3 linked regions of the Drosophila melanogaster genome follow. The protein of the gene in region 2 purifies or fractionates together with the protein of the main gene of each other region. This does not show direct contact. Each region holds a gene or a part of one and is shown on either strand. Other genes may lie near its edges.

Region 1 (6,336 bases), on a different chromosome or scaffold from region 2:
AGTTACAGGATATCTTTAGGGCATGTGTGAGCAATCAATCATGCAAAGCGAAAGGTCTTCATTTATGTTTCTTGTGCTAACGAGAAATGTTTTAAGTCCAAAATTAATTAATAACATAATGCATAAAGTCACTATTCAAATAATCAGATTTAACACAGCTGCTAAGAGAACATTTCAAATACGTCATACATTTCCCTAATTAACACTAAAATCGGAGCTCTTCTCTTGAGCTTGAGTTATGTTCCGGATTATTGGGCTTGTAAGTTTGAGCATTACATCCATTCTTCATCCATTATTTCAGGGAAATGCTCGTACATTGCTACCCACTCGTGGGCTTCCCCGGCGTATACTTAATATTTGAGCAGGCAAGAAGGTTGCCGGCCATTATTTGTTCATTATTCAGTTGTTATCAGCTGGATCTGAGCCAGATCCAATATACTGCCGCCTTGGGGCTTCCGGCCCACTGCCTTCTGCCCGCTGCGGTCAAAGGTCGCATTCTGTGGGCACGTCTGCCCATTAGAGACAATAATTTTCTTTAAATTTGCCGATTAAATTGAGCGCAGCGAATTCGAGTGATATCCCAACCCAATGCCAACCGCAAGTGAGTGAGTGTGTGTGAGTGTGTGCACGGGTATGCGGGTTAATGGGTGCTCTTAAAGCCAGACTAATGAATTTAGCCCGGTCCGCCGGAATTGCGAGTTTTAAATTGCGTGACAGAAGCGCTTTCAAAGGCAATTAGAAAACGAGCGAGTGTGCAGGCTTTTTGCTGCACACTTGGTCCCGAGTTAACAGGCCATGACAGAAATATTTAGCATACATCTGGGCTGGAATCCTTGTGAGAGTCCTTTGCCCATACCCGTCATACAGGTCACGTGGCGCCATCAGCCGCAGCGGCACTGACGACTTCCGGGAAGCGGAAGCTGTAGCCGGTCCGCATTATGGCGAATTAATGCGCCGTTATTAGACAAATGCATGACAAGCGATTCAATTAGGGCGCCATAAACTGTCGTCGGCTAGGCACATACATACATACATATACTTGTTGTGACACTCGGCTGGCATCATTATAGTCAATTGCAGGATGGCGCAGGACAATGCGCTCGCCTGCGGATAATCAAGCGCTTTTAATGATTTCACATTCTGTCCGGCGGGAAATTGCATTTCTGCCATCGATTGCCAGCTCTAGTTTCCATTCTCGCACTCTCGCTCGCTCGCGGTGGCCATCAGAAAGCAATTTAATATTAAAATTTTCATAAATATTCAGACAGCGAGTCGGCAGAACCACGCTGGCATTGCCATGTTTGGCACGTTTGGAAGGGATTTTATTTCCCGATTTCCACAAGAACGACAGCCAGTGCCTTCTAACTCGACAGCTGCCCCAATTGATGACCGTTTTTGATTCGGGCTATTAATTAACAATTCCATTATTGCAGATGTGCGAAAATTGGGCTTTAATTAAATTGCTCGTAATGCCGTAATTATTTCACACACACACACACACGTACTCTGAGCCCACATTACCCGTAATTAATGGGATTTTAGTTAAAAATACATTTTTGCTTGTAATAATGACATGGAGGCAAATTCAAATACGAATACGTACGTACAGCACCAGCATGTGCCTGGCATTTTCAATAAATTTAAGCACACACAGCTCATTAAATGCTTTACATGTGTTGGCTTTCCCCCAAACCCAAGCTCAAATTGTAGAAAAGTCAAGATGGAAAGTCACTGCTAGAGGGATGGGTGCTGGAAGCCCCTAATTTATGCAAATGCCTATGCCACAGTGGGCGACTGTGGCTGCTCTGGTGAGCCTGTGCACTTATGTAAGCCTCATCAATTTTCCATTGACACAAAGAAGAGTTCCACAGCAATTGCGAATGTAAATAGGGCACCATAAAGTTCGTTAGGGCAGCTCCTTAAGAGTGAAGCTCGACGAGTAGATACTTTTCTGAAATGATTTACTTTAGTCACCCAATTAAATGTGTCTGCAGTTGAATTATTTTGCTCCTTTCGAAACCATTCTGATTTTTCAAGTATAAGAAACACCTTTAAAATAGTAGACTTTAAAAGGCACACTCTTTACCTACGGAAGTTCCTTTCGCGACCTCAGCAATTAGGCGGCATGGGAACCGCACATTTAATCCCAGGAGTTGGAGAACATCATCTCGACACATCCAGCAATCAGCATAAAGCCCCAGCGAAAAGCATTAGGCGTAATTACGAATTGGGCTCAAGTCCCGACTTTTGGATGCAATGAGCTAGATAAGTCTCCATCCCGATGGGATTAGACATGACTTTTGAATCGAAACTAAGTCTCGACTCCTCGAAGTGTGAAATTGCGGCTTCATAGATCCATCAATACGGCGAATCTGACTTAACTCGCAGTCTCGTAGTGTGGGAAATGATTAATGAAAGATATCGGGTGATAAGAAAAGCTGCAAAGGCGATAAGCGTGGGCGGGGAGCTATTTGCTGAGAGAGGGAAAGATAAAAAGGTAAAGCTTCGCCGTGCTATCTTATCAACAATTCAAATCCCCGGGGCTTCGGACCCTCCACTCAAGCTCGCTGGCCAAATGTATTTCAATGACTAACCCAACCAAAGCATTTTGCTGATAAATTTATTGGAAAAATCGACTCAGAATGTGTGTGAGCTTTTCCGCCACTCGATAAGATATGAAAGTGGCACTAGCTGCGAGCCATTCACCCACTCATTTAGTATACCGAGAACCTTTACGATGGCGAGGTTGGAAGTTATAAGAGGGCTGACCTTTGCCCTGCTGCTGACGCAGTTGCTGGCAGCCCACGTCGCCCGGGCGGAGGTCATCGATGCGGAGGAGACGGATCGCTTCTGCTACCCGGAGTCCTCGAAGAACTCCCGGCGGTCCTGTGAGTGCAGCAACGTGAGTGCTTCTCCCTGGGGAAACCGAGCCCTGCGCATCGACTGCAGCTACAAGGACTACAAGGTGGCGGATCTCTCCCTGCTGCTGCCACTGTACATCGACTCCCTGGACCTGTCCTGGAACGCCCTGGACTCAGTACCGATCTTCACTAGCGACAGTCTGCACCAGCTGAACCTGAGGCACAACAACATTTCGCAGTTGGTGTCCGGAAACTTCAAGCAACTGACCAGTTTGAGGGAGCTGTATCTGGGCTGGAACAGCATTGGCAAACTAGAGTCCGGATCTTTTGACGGATTGCCACATCTGCAGGTCCTTGACCTAGCCCACAACAATCTGCACTTGCTGCCCGGTCATCTTTTTGCCCCGCTTTTGGTCCTGGGCACCTTGGACATCTCTTGGAATCGACGCTTCAACGAGTCTGGCGGGGATCTATACACCGGACTCGGGGTGAACTGGAAACTCTCCACCTTAAGACTGGACGCTTGTAGCCTAAATGATCTTCACCTGCCCGTAAATGCACCTCTGAAAGAGCTTTCCCTCCGTCGAAACCAGTTGAAGCGGATTCCCACACAGCTGCCGGAGACTTTACTCCGCCTAGACATTAGCGACAATCTGCTGGAGGAGCTGCTGCCGGAGGACACGGCTAATCTCACCCAGGTGCGCCAACTTTTTATCGAGGACATGCCGGTGCTCCAGAGGGTGGTGGCCAATTCCCTGACCCACGTAGATGTCCTCGAGACATTGAGCTTCCAGAACAGCCGTCAGCTTAGCCACTTGGACGCGGAGGCCTTTGGACCCATCATGACCACCCCCACCAAAAAAAGAGCTCTGCGGTCGCTGAGCTTTCGCGGCACTATGCTGCGCACCTTTAATTCCACGCTGGCGCCGATTTTTACTCAGCTTGCCGAACTGGATCTCAACGGTCTGCCGCTGCAGTGTGACTGCGAGCTCGTCTGGCTGAAGCAGCTGCCGGTCCAAACCAACGGGCGCTGCTACAAGCCGGCCCGCATCCGTGGCATGCTGGTCACCTCAGCCCGCGGCGACGCCTTCAGCTGCGACACCTGGCCGAGATGGGCCTACGGCCTGGTGGTGCTCTCACTGATCGCCCTCAGCGCCGCGGGGATCTACCTGATCGTCATGGGACTGAGACCCCATCGGGGAGTCACCATGCGGCGCAAGGTCGGTGCCGGCAGTCCCTACGCCCGCGTCACCATCGAGCCCAATCGCCAGGAGAATCCCCACTAGGTGTCGCCCAGTACCTAGTACCGTCTAAGTTCTTGTAGTCAATCTTGTAAAATCGCCAAACAGAAAATGTAAAGCATTTTAATCTAGTGGAAGTTACATTTGAAATATATTTAAGAAAGTACCCACTCAGCTCCAGATATATTAAAGACGTCCCAACTTGATATTGGGATGGAAGGCTACATCACGATCAGCACCCAAAACTTTCGATGGATGGGATGCGCTGTACTTGAACCTTATCCTAAGTGGCCGCTTTGAGTGAAAACGGTCGACGGCGTTCACATCGTATTCTTCCTGCAGAGCGCAGAGATTGGGATAGCGAGGATTCCTTCCCGACCTGCATCCTGTGGCAGCCACGCCCACCTGGTAGACCTGCTCGCGGGGCATATTCCTACGGGCAAAGTTACAGACGATGAACTGCTGGTGCCACAGCATGTGGCTCCTCTGGCGGAGCACGCCGCATCCCATGTGGGTGGAGCTTTCCTGTATCAACTGCCGGAAGCTGCTGATGTTGCTTGATGGATCGGCGGCTTGCAGATCCTTGCTGGCTCTCATGTACTGGCCAAACCAATTCGAGATCTTGTGGCGCAGCAGCTCCAAGTCGCTGTGCTTTCCCGCACTGAAGATTACGTGGCCCGTCAGCTGGCCCACGTGCTTGAATCGCCTGGTGTTGCGGCATCCATCGCCGGACAAACTGCACCTCTTTGCCGCCAGCTCAGCCAGCTGTGCCAGCTCGGGATCCCAGCGGACACTAGCCATTCGGCGGGCGGGTCCGAAGGCGGAGAGTCCGCCCGAAGCCACCTGGTTGCGATAGAAGTTTACCTGGTGCACAATGAACGCCTGCAACTGATTGCTGAGCGGGATTAGCCTGGCCTCCCTTCCGCAATCGAGGCCAAACGTCTGGATCGTATAAGGCATTTGTTATTTTATGAGGATCCGTATAGGAATTCGTACGTATACGTATATACCACTTACCCCGTTGTTGTTGCACGCTACGTGGTCGGTGGAACGCGGACACCAGTGCTCTTGGCAATAATCCCAGGAGTAGGCGGGAAAGGAGTTGAGGGTAACTATCACCAGGCAGATGAACCACACTCTGATCGAAAACATTGTTGACTGTAGAAGGGAGCCCATCTACTCTGAAGTCAATCAGTACGAGGCCAGAAAATTACCATTTTCACGGCTTAATAATCCCAAAAATGCGAAAACAAATCTATAATACATACGAATGTGTATAGATGATATATGGCTAGTCAAAGCAATAAACAGTTCATCTTCACAACTACAAATGGTTTTTAAGTAGGCTTTAAAAAATTAATTAATTTGTCCCCCTACTCGTATTTAAGCCCAATTGAATTGAATTAAGCCTGTCGATATGCCACTTGCGATGAGTCCTTGGCCGGGGGTGACTAGAATTTATATGCCCGACCAACTGGCAGCACTCCATTGTGCGCGGCATTAATAATAATAATACAGTATGTAATAGTCGCGTCATAAATACTCGGACCAACAGCTTCAGTTGCGAGGGTGGCGATAGATTTACGACCCTCGCGAAACTGGAATTCGCATAAATAAATATTTTTTGTATTGCCTTTCCCGTCTGGACACCACCCACCAGTATGGTGCGCATTATTAATTTCGATATCTGACGGGCAATTATGGTGCCCAAAATGGGCGGCGTTCTTTTTAGCTCATGAATTAGTTAATAGGGGATCCGAAAAATTTGGATTGCTCATACCACCACTACTAGTTGCAGCTCATGATTAAAGAATAAATATTGTACAGGAGCCATTCTGGATTATATTCAGAGTTTAAGCAGAAGGAAATTAAAGTAATAACTAGTTTGGTCATATCGGTAGAAACTTTGTTGTAAATCCATCCCTTTATGCCTCATAATTCGCATTTCTATGGCCAGTTGTGGGGCAATTATTGACAAGTAATTTGCATTTCACTACGACAATCTATCAATGACTAGCTCGTCATCGGCGACGCCTGTGCATATTAATTGTGGGCCATTTTCACGCCGTCTGTGTGCCAAAGCAGAAGCCAAAGGCAAAGGATGCGGTCTCTCCGGGCGCCTGCGTCCTGCGTCCGTGTGCCAGTGGCCCAGTGCCACGAGTTGCATGCCACTCCGAAGGCGAGTCCGAATGCGAGGCTGAGTCCGAACCGAATCCGAGCTCAGCTACGAGACA
Region 2 (10,383 bases):
AGTACCAAAACACCCTCCTCAACAATGTCGTCTGTGACTACTTCCGTCGCAATCGCAAGTTCAACAACTTTCAGCCACTGCCACCGGAAGATGCTGCTGGCGAGTTTATTCGCTACATGAATGCCCTCAACTCGGTGGACAATCTGATGGAGCGGGTAAAGCTGATCAAGATCAAGAACGGACACAGTGCGTCGCGCGCCATGCTGGAGCTTAACTCGTATTCTGTTCTCGCCTTCAACGAAGAGCAGCGTCTGGAGGGATTCATGCGCAAGACCCTCATCCGCAAGGACATGGATCGCTTGAGGCGCGCCCTGGACAACGATCTTAGGCGCATGCAGGATCTTCGCAACCAGATCAGCGAGAAGCGCTACGAGCTCAACTTGAACCTTCACAACCTGGCATTTGTGGATGAGGTAAGGACGAATGATGCTAGGAACTTACAATCTTGTTGGAAAAATACGAGTATATTCTTCTCTCGCAGAAAGTGATGAAATTCGAGCGTGTTACCGAGACGCTGACCATTTCGCAAATGCTGTGCGCCAACGAATCCATAATACAGTTGAGCAAGCAACTAGAGGGTAAATTGATGAACTCTAGAACTTTAAGTTAATCGTTAAACTCACCTGCGTATAAATTGTATAGAAAAGTGCAAGGATGTTGCGGTCATGCAGTCGAACTACAAGAAGTCCATGATAGAGGAGACGTGCGTGCGTGAGAAGCGGGACATGATCTCCTACATGCTCTCCAAGGCGAGGGCCGAGTATATAGATCGATTCGAGCGGCGAAACAAGCTGCGCAAGGATCTGACCAGGCTGCAGCTGGAGCACGCCGACCTCAAGACCAAGCGGGACAAGCTGGAGACCAAGGGCGGACTGCTGTTCAAGCCGGGCCTGATGTACGACTACGATAAGTGCATGGCCGATATACAGGCCCGCCGTAGTCACATCCAGGCCATGAAGAAGACCTGCAACGAGTTGGGTAAACGCATTCGCGCCTGCGAAGACTCCAAGTACCAGTCCAGTTTTTCGATACGGTATCTTAGTTAATTAGGATGCATTTCTAATTTTCTAAGGATTTTCACAAATAAATTTGAGTGTACCTTATATAACTGTCACCCATGTGTGAAAATGTTGAACATTAAACGTAATGTAACGAAAAATTAAGCTTTCGAAGGAGAACAATTTAAAAAGGTACTTCCCCGCCGATTTCAGGTTTCTTTTGACAATCGATAATAGCGGATGGTATTTTTCTGCTTGTCGATAAGCACTCGTTGCTGCGATAGTTCAGCCCTGGCAACCAGCTGTTCGGCGATGTGATAATAATTTTGGTTTTTTTTTTACACAACACGTTTAGCGCAAAACTAAATCCTGCATTTGTGAATAAAAATCTATATAAAATAGCAAAGATGTCCGTGCTGCCCAACGCCGGAAACAATGAATCGTCGGTGACGGCGCCCAAAATGTTTGGCGATCCGGATTTGGATCGCATGGCGATGGAGTACGTCGGAAACATGCAGCGCTACCGCGAGAACATCATAATCCCCAAGAGCAACGGCCCCGTGAAGATCAAGACCAACGAGGAGAAGTTCATCGAAACGGCGGTGGAGAGCTGTGGATTCAAATGCACCATGGCCTGTGTGATGGGTGGGTGACACTATCTACTACTACTACAAGCTAATTGTTCATAATCAAAACAACCACTTGCAAAACAATCCCCTCTTGATTATGACAGATTATTGCATATTCAAGTCATTGGACATTTGAATATATGTCCTATATGTCCTTAATCCATCCATGGTTATTATTTTATAACAATACCTCTTAATTCGATTCACCAATCATGCTTGATTATTATATGTTATTATTAATGGTTAATTAATGAAATGTTTACAAAAAGCTAATCAAATTATAACATGTTGAGTTATTTACTTTTACAATATTCTATTTATTTGTTCAGATTCAGTATTTGTTAGTAACTTAAATGTAAGAATTTAAATTTATGTTAACCATATATCTATACTCCATTTCAGGCTATGGCTTGGGTGCAGCTTTGGGTTTGTTTAGCGCCTCCGTTAATCCCAACATGGCCGATCCGTTCGCGAATGAGAAGAAGCAGACGGCCAGGGAGGTTTTCCGCGAAATGCGCTCCACCACCCATTCCTACGCGAAGAATTTCGCGCTCATCGGCTGTGTGTTCTCCGCCGTCGAGTGCACCATCGAGAGCGTAAGTCCACCTGCTCAAAAGCGTTGTGTATTAGTTTGTATTAACTAGAACTCCTTCTGATTTTTGCAGCATCGGGGCGTCACGGACTGGAAGAATGGCACCTACGCTGGAGGCATCACTGGAGGACTGATTGGTTTGCGGGCTGGCGTTAAGGCGGGCATCATCGGCGGCCTGGGATTCGCCGCCTTCTCCACGGCCATCGACTACTACATGTATTCTAGATAGGCTCATATTCTTCGGTTACCTTGTTTCGTAGTAAATGTTTGTTTCTAACTAACGTCTATGGATATGCTTTTGTGAATTGCCGCCAAGGAAACGCTTTCGTCACGACCTATAATGGCCCCCATTTCCGGTTGGCTACCATTTGGAGCCCTGACATTTGGAAAAGTGCAGCTGCCACACATTAATAATGCGCCCCAATCAAAAAGGCACTGTGTGGCATAAACAATGTGCCACAGTCTCGCTTTAAAATTCGGCCAGCGAGCCCCCGACCGGTTTTCTTTTCGGGGGAGCACTGTGTCCACTTTTGTGGGAACGCGAACGGGAATCTCGATCCAGCAGCAAATTTCCAGTTTCGGTTTTTTTGTTCAGTTCGACTCGAGCGGCGGGCAGGTAGAGATCGTTCGTTGCTGGCTCCTCTGCGCTAACGTTTCCGTTTTCGACATCAGCCTTCGCGCGTGTTTCTTCTACAGACGAGGATGAGCATCGTTCCCCAAGCAGCTGCAAAAGTGCAACAGCAGCAACATCGGCAAGATCAGCAGTAACCGCAGCAACGCAAACGGGTTTCATTCGCACTCGACGGACATTTACTTTTATTGTGTGTGCGGTTGGGTCGCGTGCAGTTCACGGAATATGCAAAAGCCTTCATCATTAAATTAAACACAGACTAACGACTAGTAAGCACATGGAACTTTGCCACGGATGTGCGTCTCGTCCGCCACCCTTGCGGTTTCTTGAAAGAAACGCTATTGGAGGCGAGGCGACAGAGATCAAATCTCTTAGGTGAACGTTTACAGTGGACATCGGATAAGAAGTGAGACGGGGAACTAGTTTCTGATAGCATTTGCTAGGAACATCAAAGGCGGGACATTTAAAAGATAGTGTAATATTAATGCATTCTAATGAAACTGCTTTTTAGGTAGATACAGGTATAAATGATATTAGAAATATTTCGTATTGGAGCTGCTACATTTGTGCATTGTGACGACTTTAAAAGCTACCACAATAGATACTTACAATCTATGCGATGTCCACTGTACTTGCCTCCAATGCGATCGTGAGTCACAAGTGTCTGGGCAACATTGGTCGTCTGGCTGTGTTCGGTTAACTTCGTCAGTATTTTGTTTATGCAACCAATTCCAGAGCCACAAACACTTCTTGTTTGCCTTTCTCATCGTCGGCAGCTGCGAACAGCTCAATTCTCCATTCTTCGCTCTCGTTTCTCATTTCTCGATTCTTAATTCCCGATGCCAGGCGTCAGCAAGTTCAATGGAACCAAGTGACACTTGCAATTGCGATCGCATCTAATTGGCTCTCCTTCGGCCATTGAATCAAAAGTCATTTGGAGCAGATGTGGTGGGGCTAAGCTGAGTGAACTGATGGTTTAATTATTTGGCTCCAACTTTTTCCCACAACGAGACACAAAGTCTTATCTTATCACAGCGCAATCTGCTCGAAGCCAAACAATACAGTAAAACTTCTATAGCTCGAAATGCTAATGTTGAGTACTGTATAAAGAAATATACAATAAATGTAGAAAAAAATAACAACATAATGTTGGCTTCTGATTTGTTTTTATTCCTTTCAATTCTTTAGAAAAATATGAGATATAATCGAGAGTAGTAACGAAATTACTTTTGGATTTAAAAGATACAACTTATTGATGAAATTCAATTGTAGATCCATTGTTATTTCATTTCTTAGAGATACTGAAATTCGCCGTAGGGGTGCAATACTGTAGTTCTTGTATGCTCGAGAGGCAATTGCACTTTAGGCAGGTGGCTACGAGCAATTAGCTGACGAAGAAAGCAGCAAAGCAATCTGACGGCCTTGCAAAGAAAAATATACATAGAAGTAGAGAGAAAGCAGAGGGGGAGAGCCAGAAAGGCAGAAGAGTCCGTTGATGACTCAATTAGAATTCACTTTTACTTTTTACTCATTTTTACCGACGGCTTAGATTACGATCTCAGAACTGAGAACGTGGGAGAGAGAGCGTGATAGAGGTAGGATGAGGGAGTGGAGCCCCGAGAGAGACTCTCTTCTCTTGCCCACCGATATCTAATCAAAACAAATAATGCTTCAGTCCACGGCGGCTTTACTTGATTCATATATTTAGTTCTATACTGCGAGGCATGCAGTACGCTTGCCGTGTGCTGCGTTTAAAAAGTAATAAGTAAATGTTCTGGATAAAAATTTAATCAAAAGACAAATAAGTGCAAGAACAAGAAACTCAAAAGATATAAGCAACATAACTCGAAATTCAGTACGCCTGAGTTGGAAAACACCGAAACCGAAACTCAAATCGAATCTACATATAACCGATACCATAATGAAGCACAAACTTCTGTTGTTGGTGAGTAAATATTTCAGCCATCTAAAACAGTATCCCTATCTTATCGCACATACTTTGGGCTCAGATAGTGGGGATCAGAGAGTGTTTTCCGTTAAGCTCTTTTCCTGAATGTGCCCAAGTGGGGAGACCTTTTTATGAAGCACATCGATGACCTCCTTCCGGACGGCCAGTTGGCCCAAAAAAAAAAACAACAAAATTAGGATGCCATATAGGTTATCGAATCAGATCTGTGTGAGTCAATCAGATGCGTCATGTCGAGATGTTTTCCACTTGGAGATACATCGCATTGGCTTTCAGTTTTCACTCACCGATATCAGTTGAACATGTTTTGCCACAAATTTATCTCAAGTCTTCAAGACACATGAAAGCAGCAATAGTACGGATACCAATCGGAATTTACTTCAAAACCCTAATGAAGATGAACAGAAATCGTGGGGATCGTTGGAGAAAGATGGCCGAGCTCGTATTCTCCTTATGTGTGATTGACAAAGCCGAGGATGTAGTTCTTGATGTTATTATGTTAAAGTTCCTCGGAGAGTAGTTGCAGCGAACCAAACTAGACGCATCTATGTAGAATATGGCTGACCGAATCTACTATATCAATCAATGTTATCTTACTAGAACCCATATGTTCCATAGAATGCTAATGTAAAATATATACTTGATTAATTATATAAATATTTATTGCGGTGTACACAGACCAACGATCGATGACAGAATAATTTCTTTGTTTTGTATATTGACCCAGAAATGATTGATTTAAAAAAAAAAATGAGCACAGTTTTTTAGGTTGACTAAGCAAACTTGTGTCCGTTAACCCTGTCGTATACGTATTTTCTTAGTATTCAATGCAATCAATTATGTGTGGGCAATTAGCAGTTAGACTGTTCCTTAAATGAAAATCAAGTTACTTTTGCTATATAAAATTCCTATAAAACATTGCATTGGTATTCGCTACACGTCTCAGCTTTTTAGAACTCTTGGATGCAGCAATGCAATTATATTAATGGCGCCAACCTTACTGGTTTGCAAAGTACTTTCGTCTGTCTGAACACTTGTACTTCGTGGCAATCGTGACATATGAGAAGCAGCTTCAAATCAGACATACAACACTCTGTCCATGGTCAGAACGATGGAAAATGTGGCGAAAATTTCAAGGGACACGTGCATATTACTCAGGTTGTTTTTCCGAGAATGTTATAATCTCCCTAAAGTACTTTTTTTTTTGAGACGAAATGTAGCAAAGATCCCCATTTGATTTTTTATTAAAAATTGAGGAAATTCCAAAAACAATCCAAAAAATATTTAAATTAAAATTTAAAACTCTTGTAAGATTTTAACTAGATATATTCCACAATATTTCGAAGGAAACGGAAAGCACTTAAAAATTTATTTTGATTTATATATGCAATTGTATCATTTAACTCAAGCGCTTATTATCATTTAGTTCCTTGCAGGAGCGGCTTTGCTCCTGGCCACTGAAGTTCGGAGCCAACATGAGGACATTCCGTACCAGCCGGTGAGCAACATCTGCCAGACGTGCCTGTGCCTCAGCACCCAGGATGTGGATCATCGGACGCACTTCAACCTGGACTGCTCGGTGAGGAATTTCGAGCACATCCTGGCCCGCTGGCCGGAGCAGTTTGGCAGCCAGGCGATTGCGTCCGGAGCTGCATCGGAGATTGTCGTCTCGTACTCGGGCAATAGGATCAAGTTGCTCCAACAGCTGCCGGCCACAAATGCCAGCTTAACTCTCTCCTGCCGCCACTGTGGCCTACAGGATCTGCAGGCTCCGCTGTTCATGGACGTGCCCAATGTGCAGGCCCTTTATATCAGCTGGAATGATATAACTGACGATGCCTTGGTGCCGGATCTCTTCAGGGGTCCTTTCCGCAACACTCGCTACGAGCCGATTGGTTTGCGAGACCTGGACCTGAGCCACAACCGGATAGTTCGACTGGATCGCCGGCTCTTCGAGCACACTCCCCACTTGACCAAGTTGAACTTGGCCTACAACAAGCTGAGTTCCCTGGATGAAGCCACCACAGCCTCCATTGGATCGGTTGCTACACTGCAGCGACTGGATCTCTCGCACAATGGCCTGATGACTTTGCCAGCGCAGCTTTTCTCGAAGCTCACAAGCCTCCGTTTCCTGGACGTCTCCGGAAATGAGTTTTCCACGATGCCAGCCAGCCTGCAGCTATTGGGCAAATCTTTGGTTCAACTCAACTTGGCGGGAAATGCATTTCTCAGCTTGAAGGAGAATAGCCTGCAGGGCTTGGTTTCCCTGAAACGACTGAATATAAGTAGCATGCCCTCCCTGCGAAGTCTGGAGAAGGGTGCTCTGAACTTGCCTGCCTTGGAGCACCTAGATTGCTCTAGGAACTCGAAGCTGGAGCGCTTGGAGTTGGCCGATCTTCTGAGCAGTCGAAATTTGTCGCAGTTGGACTTGTCCTGGAATGCACTGACTACTCTGGTTATCAATGCCACCGGTTCGAGCAATAACAGTAGTAATTCTACGAATGAGACCTGGCCACGACTCCGTCGCATGAGCATCTCCGGAAATCCCTGGTATTGCAGCTGCGAACTGTTCAAAGCCCTGGAGCTGATTGGACTGAACCACATCGATCGGGAATGGGATGGAACTGAGGCGCGTTGTGAAACGCCATACCTTCTGGCCGGATCTCCGCTCTCCAATTTGACAGCCGAACGTATTTGCAAAATGGTGATACCCAAGAAATATCGCGAGGTGGACGAGGAGCCACCGCGATTCCTGCGACGCCACTACATAATACTCACCGCCATTATAGCCAGCATTGTCCTGGTAATTGGTCTGGTCATCGGATTCGTCGTGGTCTGTGTGCGCCGACGGCTCAAGGGCAGCGATTACGGAGTACAACCCATCCGGTACACCAGCGTTAGGGGCAGCAATCTGTCGCAGTTCTCGCAGCTGCAGCCCGTCTCGGTGGCCAGCAAGTTCAATAATGTTCATGCCGGGAGCAGCAGTGGGGTGACCACTGGTGCTGCCAATGCCTAACACGGTGTTAAAATCCTAATACGGTTCAAATTCCGAGCTAGCTGCACAAGTTTCGAGCCAAAGATGTCCACGACAGTGACGCGATCCCAACCGAAAGACTTCCTGTGCGTGCTATCCTGTACATATGTAGGTGCTCCCTGTATTAATTTCCACAAAGGAGCTGATCCCATTGCCAGTCCCTAGACCCTAGTATTTAGTGAAGCCATCGATGTTTGTGTATTGTACTTAAGATCCGCACATTAGTGTGTAATAAAAGATTTTTAATTTCAATTACAGTTCTTTACATAGAGTATACATATATCGGTAACGTGATTGCCAAACTTATGTTTTTTTTTTAACAATGATTTTTAATTAAAAGTGTAATTAAGTTCCTTAAACGCAAGTGTCAAAACGAATTGCCGATTCAAATAGTTTAAATGAATTTTTTCCAATTGCTTTCACATATGTATTATGTAGAGTTGGCCTACTTAATAACATTTATTCATTGCTTTGTTTTATTTTGTTTTGCTATGTTTTATTTAGTTATAAAAATGGTAGGGAACATCAAAACGAGGAACAACCGAAAGGCAGAAAGTTGTGTTCGGGGTGATGTGGCGTCGCTTGGCGAGCGGTCTATCTCTCCAATTGGCTAGATAAATGATAAAAGCTTAAACTATTCAGAGCAAATATCCAGATAACAGGCTAGTGAACAACAAAACAAACAGCCAGCCAGCCCGTCTAGCATTCACTTTCAAGCAGCTCCTCCCCACCGGCGGCCACAGGTGGTGGTGGTAGCTTAAACAGATTAATAGCCTGCTTCTGAGCAAGAAATTGACGCATTTCAGCAAAATTATCACGCTCCTTGTGCTGTTTGCTGCGTCGCCTGAATGCCTCTTCGTCAGCAGAGTCCGAATCTGAGTTGCTGGAGGATTCGTAGACAGGTAAGGGTGCGGCATCCGCCAAGCGATTGTCCTCCTGCTGCTGCTCGACTCTTTCCATTTTGCCAAACAGCTCGTCCACATTTATGCCCTTAGAGGCCAGAACCTCACGCTCCTTTTCCAGCATAACTTGTCTGATGGGATCGATGCGATCTTTCAGCTGTTTGAGGACAGGCTTAAACCTTCCCTTGGTAATACGCTTCTCGAAGTTAAGCAGTTCCTTTTCCGGCGAGGGAAACGGTGCATTCTGCTCAGCTTCAAAGTGCTGCTCCTCGTTTTCATCGTACATGTATGCATAAAAGTCATCCCTCTGCTGCGGAGCATCCACGTTCTGCGAGAACTCAACCCTAAGAATGCTCTCGGGGAATTCATCGTCGAGATCCTGCTTGGGCTTCGGCAACTCTCCTTCCAAATCCAGCTGACTGTGCAAGAACTTGTTGTAGACCAGCATCAATCGCTGGAAATCATCACAGCAAACGGCCAAGGCATTTTCGATGCCATGCATATTATTGGCCACAGCCACCAGCTCCTTGGAGTTGTTCTTTTTTGCCGCCTCTGTGACAGTGAGTTTTTGAAGAGTCACGTCCAGAGCTTGACATTCTGCGGCCACGGCCACCATGCAGGCGCTTAGTTTTAGCGAGGAGTGCTGCAGCACAGCAATTGGTCCACTCTGCTGTTGCTCTGCTCTAGTCGCATTCAGCTCAGCCAGTTCCAATTGCTTCTTGTTCTGCAGGGCTAATGCTAGATTACTGAAGTGCTGCTCCTCCTCTTGTACCAACTGCCTCACCAGGCTGTCGATTTTCACCAGATCCTCGCTCAGCTGAGAGATCGAGGGACGAGTTGTGATGGTGAGTGCCAGCCGGAGCAGGTATTGTGACTGCACATAGGCGAAGATGTTGTGAAAGTCCTAGAATAATTTTATAATTAGTAAGTTAGATGAGGAAGTTTAATATAAATTATAACATTTTGAGTGTACCAAAAGAAAAGTATATTTACAGAAAGCATTGGCGTATTACCTAGATAGATAAAATAGATTGTAAGCTCTACTTATTGTCTGATTCGCCTCTAAAAGCAATTAGCGACTACAAATTGTTTATCATTTATTTGTTATCAGTTATCTGTTGAATGCGTCATTAAAGATTACCATATGCACTTTAAATTCATGATATGGGCGAATAGTGGATACCATTTGATACACTGTGTATCAAGCATAATAATGAAAAGCCAGTTTATATAAGACTTTATACGACACTAAGCAATTCTGAAGTAAATAAATATGGATATAGATAAATCCTTCTTACTTTTATGTGCTTGGGACTGTAGTCCGTGACATTGTTCTTGAAGTACTCGCACTCCCGCAGTTCTTCCATGGGCGCATAGTAGGCGCTGTACTTTGTCGGCAGGGGATAGTCCGTCTCCAGTTTTCGGGTGGCATCGTACAGGATTTCGGTAACCTCCTTGGCGGCCGTTATGCAATCCCAAGCGCGCTCAATTTGACGGGATCTGCAACGAAATGTGATTAGATATATATAATTCATTAAATTGAAATCTATTGGATTACTCTATGAGCTCGGCCTGTTTCATGATGATGATCTCCTGAAAGTACGTCATATTTCGACGGATGCAGTTGCCGA
Region 3 (7,266 bases), on a different chromosome or scaffold from region 2:
TTAGTTACATTTTAAAGTAATATAGTATGGTATAAATAATCCGGGATTGATAAAGTATATTTCTGTTTTTAAAACAATAACATTTTGAATAGATCTGCTTAGTGTATAGAAATTTTCGTTAGCTAAAACAACGTATACTTTTTATTGTTCATATATCGATGATCAATGCAAACAATTTGGGCTTCGAGCGGATGCTTTTGTTTATTCTTATTTATCTTGGCAGTGAGATAAGCGCCAGATAACTGTTAAGATTCGAGATACAATTCTGCTGAATTCTGTTTCGTTCTTTTAAATATTTGGTAGATAAAAATGGAATTCGCGAAAACATAAAAATAAAACACATAAGTTCATCAAATTTATTACCTCACATACCCAGCTCCCTTCCGCTACGTCCGTTGGCATCGGGACGATGTGGCTCTGGTGGACTCCAGACACCCGGAGCTCCCGCCGCCGGATCGCATAATGCTCTGGCCGAATGGCAGCCTGCAGGTGGCCAACGTGCAGTCCAGTGACACCGGGGACTACTACTGCGAAATGAACTCGGATTCGGGTCATGTGGTCCAGCAGCACGCCATCGAAGTGCAATTGGCTCCACAGGTGTTGATTGAACCATCGGATCTCACGGAGCAGCGGATAGGTGCAATCTTCGAGGTGGTGTGCGAGGCCCAGGGAGTGCCCCAACCGGTCATCACCTGGCGGTTGAACGGCAATGTCATCCAGCCACAGAGCAACACGGGGAATCGGCAAAGCCTCATCCTGGAGATCAAATCGAGGAACCAGGCGGGCCTCATAGAATGCGTGGCCAGCAATGGAGTGGGTGAGCCAGCGGTGGCCAATGTCTATCTCCATGTGCTATGTGAGTAATTAAGCTTCAAGTCAACTTGAGCAATTAACTTTAACTTACTGACCTTCTCGAATCGACAGTTTCGCCCGAGGTGAGCATACCCCAACCCGTGGTGTACACCAAACTGGGCTCCCGTGCCCATCTTGAGTGCATTGTGGAGGCGGCACCGGCGGCCACGGTTAAGTGGTTCCATCACGGACTGCCGGTGGCACTGGGAGCCCACTCCACCACTCACGAGTCGGAGTTGCAGACGAACCGGTCGGTGGATCACTACGTGAACGCCGTGCGTCACATGCTGGTGGTGAAGAGCGTGAGGAACGCGGATATGGGGCAGTACGAGTGCCGCGCCAGCAATCAGATATCCGTGAAAAGCGGAAGTGTTGAGCTGACCGGCCGTCCGATGCCCTGCCTCTTTAAGATTAACCCCGGCACCCAGAGCTCCACGTCGCATGTCCTCGTTTGGCAGACCGAGAGCCTGCTACCGATCATGGAGTTCAAGCTCAAGTTCCGACAGATCCCCTCGAACAATGTCACCCGCCAGGTTAGAACCAACTGGACAGAGCTCACGATCCCGGCTCAGGCCACAAACGGTAAGGATACTCTTAAGCTTATATCCTTAGATTCTTCTTTTCATGTTCATAACGTTTTATTTAGGACTCATCTATATAACCACATACACTCTACATGGCCTCCAGCCCGCTAGTCTCTACGAAGTTTCCGTTTTGGCCAGAAATAGCTTTGGTTGGAGCGACAATAGCAAGATAGTGCGTTTTGCCACAGGCGGAGAAGGTGAATTAATGCAAATTACATATGAATTCATTGATTAATTGTCCTCTTACTTCCACAGTTGAACTGCCCAACTACTCGACTGAATCGGAGCTTCAGGACGATTTTACCGAAGAGGACTTCCACAACGAAATCACCCAGAGATCTGAGGTTCTATCGGCCAGCATGATGTTCAACTCGGGCTCGGTTAATGGGCGCGGCGGAATCAGTGCCTTTATATATTCCTTATGTCTTATAAATATATTACGATTAATAAGTTAGATCTAATCCTAAAAAATCTTAATAAATGAACATTCAATGTTAGCGATAGCGCATATATGATTCATATTGAGATTGCTTTTGTTGAATAATACTTCCGTAAAAAAGGTGAGATAACATTTTTCTGAGCAGTGTATCATAGTAAACAGTAAGTAATGCTGGTGACTATGATACTATATTTATCATTGACTGCAATGAAATATACATAAGTCAAACGATGGCATTTCCTTTTTCTAAAAAAAAATAATAAACTAAGGTTATTTTGTAATTTTAGTATTAAATGTATTCGAAAGACAACATAAATAGAAATATAAAAAAAAAGCGTAAGAACCAATTTTAAACTTACAAGGAGTTAAAATATGTATATAGGCGGCCTACAGTGCGTATGTGTTATATGTTTAAATGAAGACTTGGTAACTTTAAAAAGAAAATCTCTGCATTGATGAACCCATAAGCCCCAGCAAACAACTTCGAGGGTACTCTTTCAGTATAGGGCTTCCTCTTTAAACTTCAATTGGCAGTGACATTGCGGACAGCTAACGCATCTTTCAGGCCCCAAGACCCAAAGACTCCCGCTCTCTCTCCCTCTCCCTCTCTCTCTCTCTCTCTCATTATCCGAACTCTCTCTCCCTCTCTCTGCAAATGGACTGTTATTTAAAGGCCCCAATGCATCGGAGAGCGAAGCACTAAGTGTAGAGAGATATGGAGAGAGCTGTTCCGCTTATTCCAATCGTTTCGAAGTGCTTTTGGCATCAGCACGCGCTCGACTTTTAGTTCTCGTTTGAACAGCTTCGCGTTCGGTTCTCCACGCAGCCCCAGCGCAGAAAAAAGGTCTCCATCCACAGCTCCAACTGAACCAATAGCCATTGCCTAGCGCCTAGTGCCCCGCAAAACCCTAGGCTTAAGGCCAATTACCGACAGCTGTAAACGTAAACGTTTGCATTCGACCTGGCTAAAACGTGTACAAATCGCTTGGGAAATGGCGTGCGGGCGAAAGCGTTACCAACGCGCGAGTGCTTTAAACGTAATTCGTACCAAAATCGGGAAAAACAAAAGGGTGAAGAGGAAGAAACCACTTTTGTACCGCTTCGGCCGAATTTCAACTCATCTCGCGTCGGTATCTGGGGACCAGAAACCAGTTTTCCTCCTCTAGGCTCTCCGGGCAAAATAAATACGAAACAAAATAACAATCTCGAACGCAGCGCACCGCATCCATTCTGTAACTCTGGCGGCCCTGAGAAGCTGTGCCGAAACCTAAAAGATTTTGTGATTTCGTCTTCGGGCCAAAACGACAGGCGATGATTCATGAAAATGGCCTACGATATGGCCAGAATGGCCAGCAGATGTGCTCCATATCTTCACTTTTATCCTGCTCCTCGGGAGCCCATTTGGCAGAGATTCAAATTCAAATTCGGTTTCAGTTGCAATTCTTGGCCGTCTCGCTCTTTCTTCGCTGGCAGATTCTTTGCTGCACATTCTATAAATATGTATAAATATGTAAAATAGCTGCCGTTGTGCCGGCAACAGAAATACACCAAACAACAGAATAAATGGCAAAGGAAAATGGTCAAATGAAAGCGAAAATGCAAGAGGAAAAGCAGCCAGTTGTAGAGCAGGCTGTGAAAAAGGTGGAGGGGGGGGGGGGGTGGGGAATTAGGGACCAGCTGCTGGGAGCGGAAAGAAAAAGGGAAATGCTTACAGAAACGCTGAATGGAAAACAAATTTTCTATACATGTTTTTATTTACATTGGGAGTAGGCAAAAAACGGGAAGAAACAACAGAAAAGTTTTCAATTCCAATTGGGATCCCCCAAAAAGCATTCAACGGATGCAAGACAGCTGCATCTGTGCCTCCCCCCACTCACACAAGTGCACACCGAGTGTGTGCGCCTGTGTGTGTTAACTTTGAGCGCAATGTAAATAAACAAAGCGCCAAAGACAAAAACAACAACAATCAAGGCATTGATTTAAAGAGAACCCTAGTAAAAGAACTCACAAAAAACGAGAATAAAGTTTGACCAAACAATCCGAAGCTTAAATACCCTGAAAAGTTTGGTCAAACTTTAATCTTAATTTGACAAGGAATTGAAAAACTATAATGCCAAAGTAATGCATTCGTTTTATTACAAAGTAATATTAAACAGGAAATTAATGTGTTTTAGATAATTCCCCGCGTGGCTTTCATCACAGAAAGTATATCTAATTATTCCCTATATGGCCAATTAACATGTCAAAAATGATTGAAGTCGCTCAGCTTAGAATTTTTCTATTGCATCAGGTTTATAAATTAAAATACCCCATTAAAGGGTATCAAGTAGAAAACAACCTAGTTGCACCTACTCCCTCCTTTGATTTTTTATAATTGATAAACAGACTGGAGGGGCGTAAATTCCGTTTAGAGGTTGTTGCCGCATGGAGGAGGTGCCAACGAGCGTCAGTACACACCGTTTATCTGTATCTGAGGTGTCGTCTATTCAGGTGACAACCCATAAAATACTGGATGGGGAAAACTCAGCAACACAAGTGAGTGCGGAAATTCTCACTCATCAGGGAGCTTTTGTTCAGCGATGCTTATGGAAGCAGGGAAAAAAGGGAAATATTTACAAACAGCAGCAGATGGCAGGAAGATGCATTGAGTTTTCCAAGCAAAAGTAACCATTGAAATAAATATATATTTTTATGGTACTTTGTACATATATTCAAAATGTCTTCAACTCATTTGCTACGTAACTTCTAAAGTTTCTTAAAATGATCTAAGGGATCGGATTGGGTTTCTATTTACTTAGAAGTGTGAAAGCTTTCCATCAATCTAGTGCTAAAAAGAGAATCAATAAGTCGACTATTTGCCCGCCAAATCTTGCGAAATGTTCAAATTTTTTTTTTTTTCAAATGCATCAGCGATGGATTATGATCATCATCAGGCATTGCAAAATTGTTTGTTTTATGAGTCGAGCATATAAACAACTTAGTGCACATATGTGCACATGCAAATTGTTTGTTTGTATGGGTGAGCTATGCCCGCCATTTGCAAAACGGCTTTTATATCAACAGCCCGAATTTTGTGTACTTTTTTTTTTTTTTTTTTTTGGTTTTTGCATCGACTTTTCGTGCTGTACAATTTTTTCGCATTTGCACATTAATTTATTTATATGCATAAACATTTGCATGCTATTCGACTTGGCACACCCTGACCCAACAGCACCCCCAAAGCCCCCACTTCGACCCACTTTACTGGCCGGCTGGCATTGAGTCAGCCCCAAAGAGAAATATACAGTCGAACTTCCATAAGCCTAGAAAACGAAATCGGCAAGAGATGCAAGGGGTTCTGAAGTTCTCATTTTAAAAATTAATACTCAAAGTTATTCATATAAAAATGTCTATTAATCACACAGCATCACACATGTAAACAATATAATTATTTGATTGATTTAAAAATAACCTTTTTGATATACAAAACATTCTGAAACCTATATCAGAGCTTAAACTTAAAAAAACATGGATTGTTTTTCTAAGGAATTTGCACTGTACCTTGAGAGAGGGACGCGATTGTGAGCTGCAAATTAGTAGCTAAACTAGCAAATGGCCATTTTTCGCGTAGAGATCATAATATCTTCAAGATACAACTTATCGACGGAGAGCAAATTGCCACCAGATACAACTGGCGGCTTGCATAACATAATGCGGCCAAGCGAGTGAGCAATGTTTACAGATCGGTCCAATATTTTCTTTACGCTGCCATATGTTTTTTCATTTTTTTTTTTGGTTTTTTTTTTTGCGAAAAAAATCGTTTGTAGTTGGCGCTTTTCCATGCATTTTGTCCAAGCCAATTAGAAATTTCCGGTCCGCGGCGCGACTTGTATATAAAATGCACGAAATAAACGATAAGCGAAATTAAGAAATCATAAAGCCGAAAAGTAAATTGTATTTCGGTGGTTTTTGCGGTTCCCGATCGGGAGTAACATAATGGCTTTAGCAAATTAATTAAGTACGAACCAACCATATTAATTGCAGTTAACGACCTACCTCCGACAGCTCCGAACCAAATTCCAATCGATAAAACGAACTCACCAAAACCCAGTCAGGCAAACAAACACCAATCATCATGATCAAGGCGAGAGATTCGACGAGGCTGCTGCTCATTAGTCTGCTAATTGGACAACTATACGGTAAGTCAAGGACCCAATCTAATGGCCTATAAAAACAAAGAACTAATTCGGAAAAGCGCGATACGATTTGATTGCCACCGAAGTGTTTAAATCGAATCTAAGAGTCGAAAGTTGGAGAGAGTTGTAATGGATGTGTAATATTTTTACGACTTCTTGTAGAGATACGAAGATTCGAAAGTGCGGCAGAAGAAGCCTAGTTGTACATAAAACTGCTGTTTGAAAACTGGGTCATCATTGGGTTGATACCAATCAATATTTTCAAATTATATTACCCAGCAAGAATATATCTGCATTACATCAAGCTAATATACCCCATCTGGTTTGCAGCAGTCAAATGAAAATTTGATTAAAACTATGTCAGTTTAAAGAGTTTTCCACGCCTCAATGAGTTTACGTAATTTCCAGATATTATGAATAACTGCGGTTCGTTCAGAAATAAGTATGAGCAACGCCACCCCAGATACGAGCCCTCACGTTCACATACATTTAACATATTCTACTCATTCGTACTCCCCAGAAAGCTCCAGATACGCTCGTTTATAGTCTTTAGTGTATATAGGTGTGAGCCACGTGCGTATGGCGTTATCTTTTGCGTAAACTGTTGGAAAAAAACAAGTATATCTTATCGTTCGTGAGAGTTACCACCGCTCTGAAAGTTAAGTTTCATTCGCTTTTTGAAATATGGCGCAAATTGCTGATAACGCTCCACATTCCACTACACTTACATATATACCTTGGCTCGGTAAAGGAAAACCTACCACCCAGTATCCAAAACCGGGTGCCATGTGTTCTGGAATACGAATAAAAAATGAATATCGCCCAGCGAGTTGAATAAATATTTGCCATACACGAATGCTGTGCAAAGAATGCCATTTTAATGTTGAATATTTTCTCGTAAACTTTGTTGGGACGTGAAAACGCCCCCATGCTCCAGATGTAATCATACATATGTACGTACATACATACATACACACATATGTAGATACGTTTTTCGATATTGGTACGCATATATTCTTCCTTTTTTTAATTAAAAATTAAATTCGTCCAATTTTAGCCATGAGATAAGGCCTATGACCGAAAATACCATTAAAAAACAAACTAAAAGCCACGGGCCCCAGGGAATTTGGAACTTTGCCTTCTCATATATCAAAATTCTAGGTGCTGAAGAATACTCTAGCTTGTTGTTTGGCCTACAAAAACAACCAGAGTCAAT

Evidence for each region.
Region 1: the proteins of CG7702 (region 2) and CG4781 purify together in Drosophila melanogaster (affinity purification with western blotting; one large-scale study listed by BioGRID). This does not show direct contact.
Region 3: the proteins of CG7702 (region 2) and CG13506 purify together in Drosophila melanogaster (affinity purification with western blotting; one large-scale study listed by BioGRID). This does not show direct contact.

What each region holds. Positions count from the first base shown.
Region 1 is NT_033778.4:24,638,614-24,644,949, reverse strand, and holds CG4781 (uncharacterized protein), read left to right. Parts: upstream 1-2,710; 5' UTR 2,711-2,737; coding exon 2,738-4,147; 3' UTR 4,148-4,267; downstream 4,268-6,336. Other genes in the region: CG3640 (uncharacterized protein), read right to left, coding at 4,289-5,044, 5,120-5,254.
Region 2 is NT_033777.3:18,666,580-18,676,962, forward strand, and holds CG7702 (uncharacterized protein), read left to right. Parts: upstream 1-2,810; 5' UTR 2,811-2,983; exon of another isoform or gene 2,984-3,119; intron 3,120-4,558; 5' UTR 4,559-4,771; coding exon 4,772-4,795; intron 4,796-5,099; exon of another isoform or gene 5,100-5,156; coding exon of another isoform or gene 5,157-5,336; exon of another isoform or gene 5,337-5,515; intron 5,516-6,242; coding exon 6,243-7,832; 3' UTR 7,833-8,100; downstream 8,101-10,383. Other genes in the region: CG31231 (uncharacterized protein), read left to right, coding at 1-413, 482-578, 643-1,046; CG31229 (uncharacterized protein), read left to right, coding at 1,406-1,643, 2,030-2,223, 2,293-2,448; CG31230 (uncharacterized protein), read left to right, coding at 5,157-5,336; dind (diamond), read right to left, coding at 8,550-9,656, 10,051-10,252, 10,311-10,383.
Region 3 is NT_033778.4:22,380,476-22,387,741, forward strand, and holds the start of CG13506 (uncharacterized protein), read left to right. Parts: upstream 1-2,658; 5' UTR 2,659-2,719; intron 2,720-5,898; exon of another isoform or gene 5,899-5,919; 5' UTR 5,920-5,989; coding exon 5,990-6,053; intron 6,054-6,919; exon of another isoform or gene 6,920-7,053; intron 7,054-7,107; exon of another isoform or gene 7,108-7,266. Other genes in the region: wrapper, read left to right, coding at 377-856, 925-1,434, 1,499-1,633, 1,692-1,891.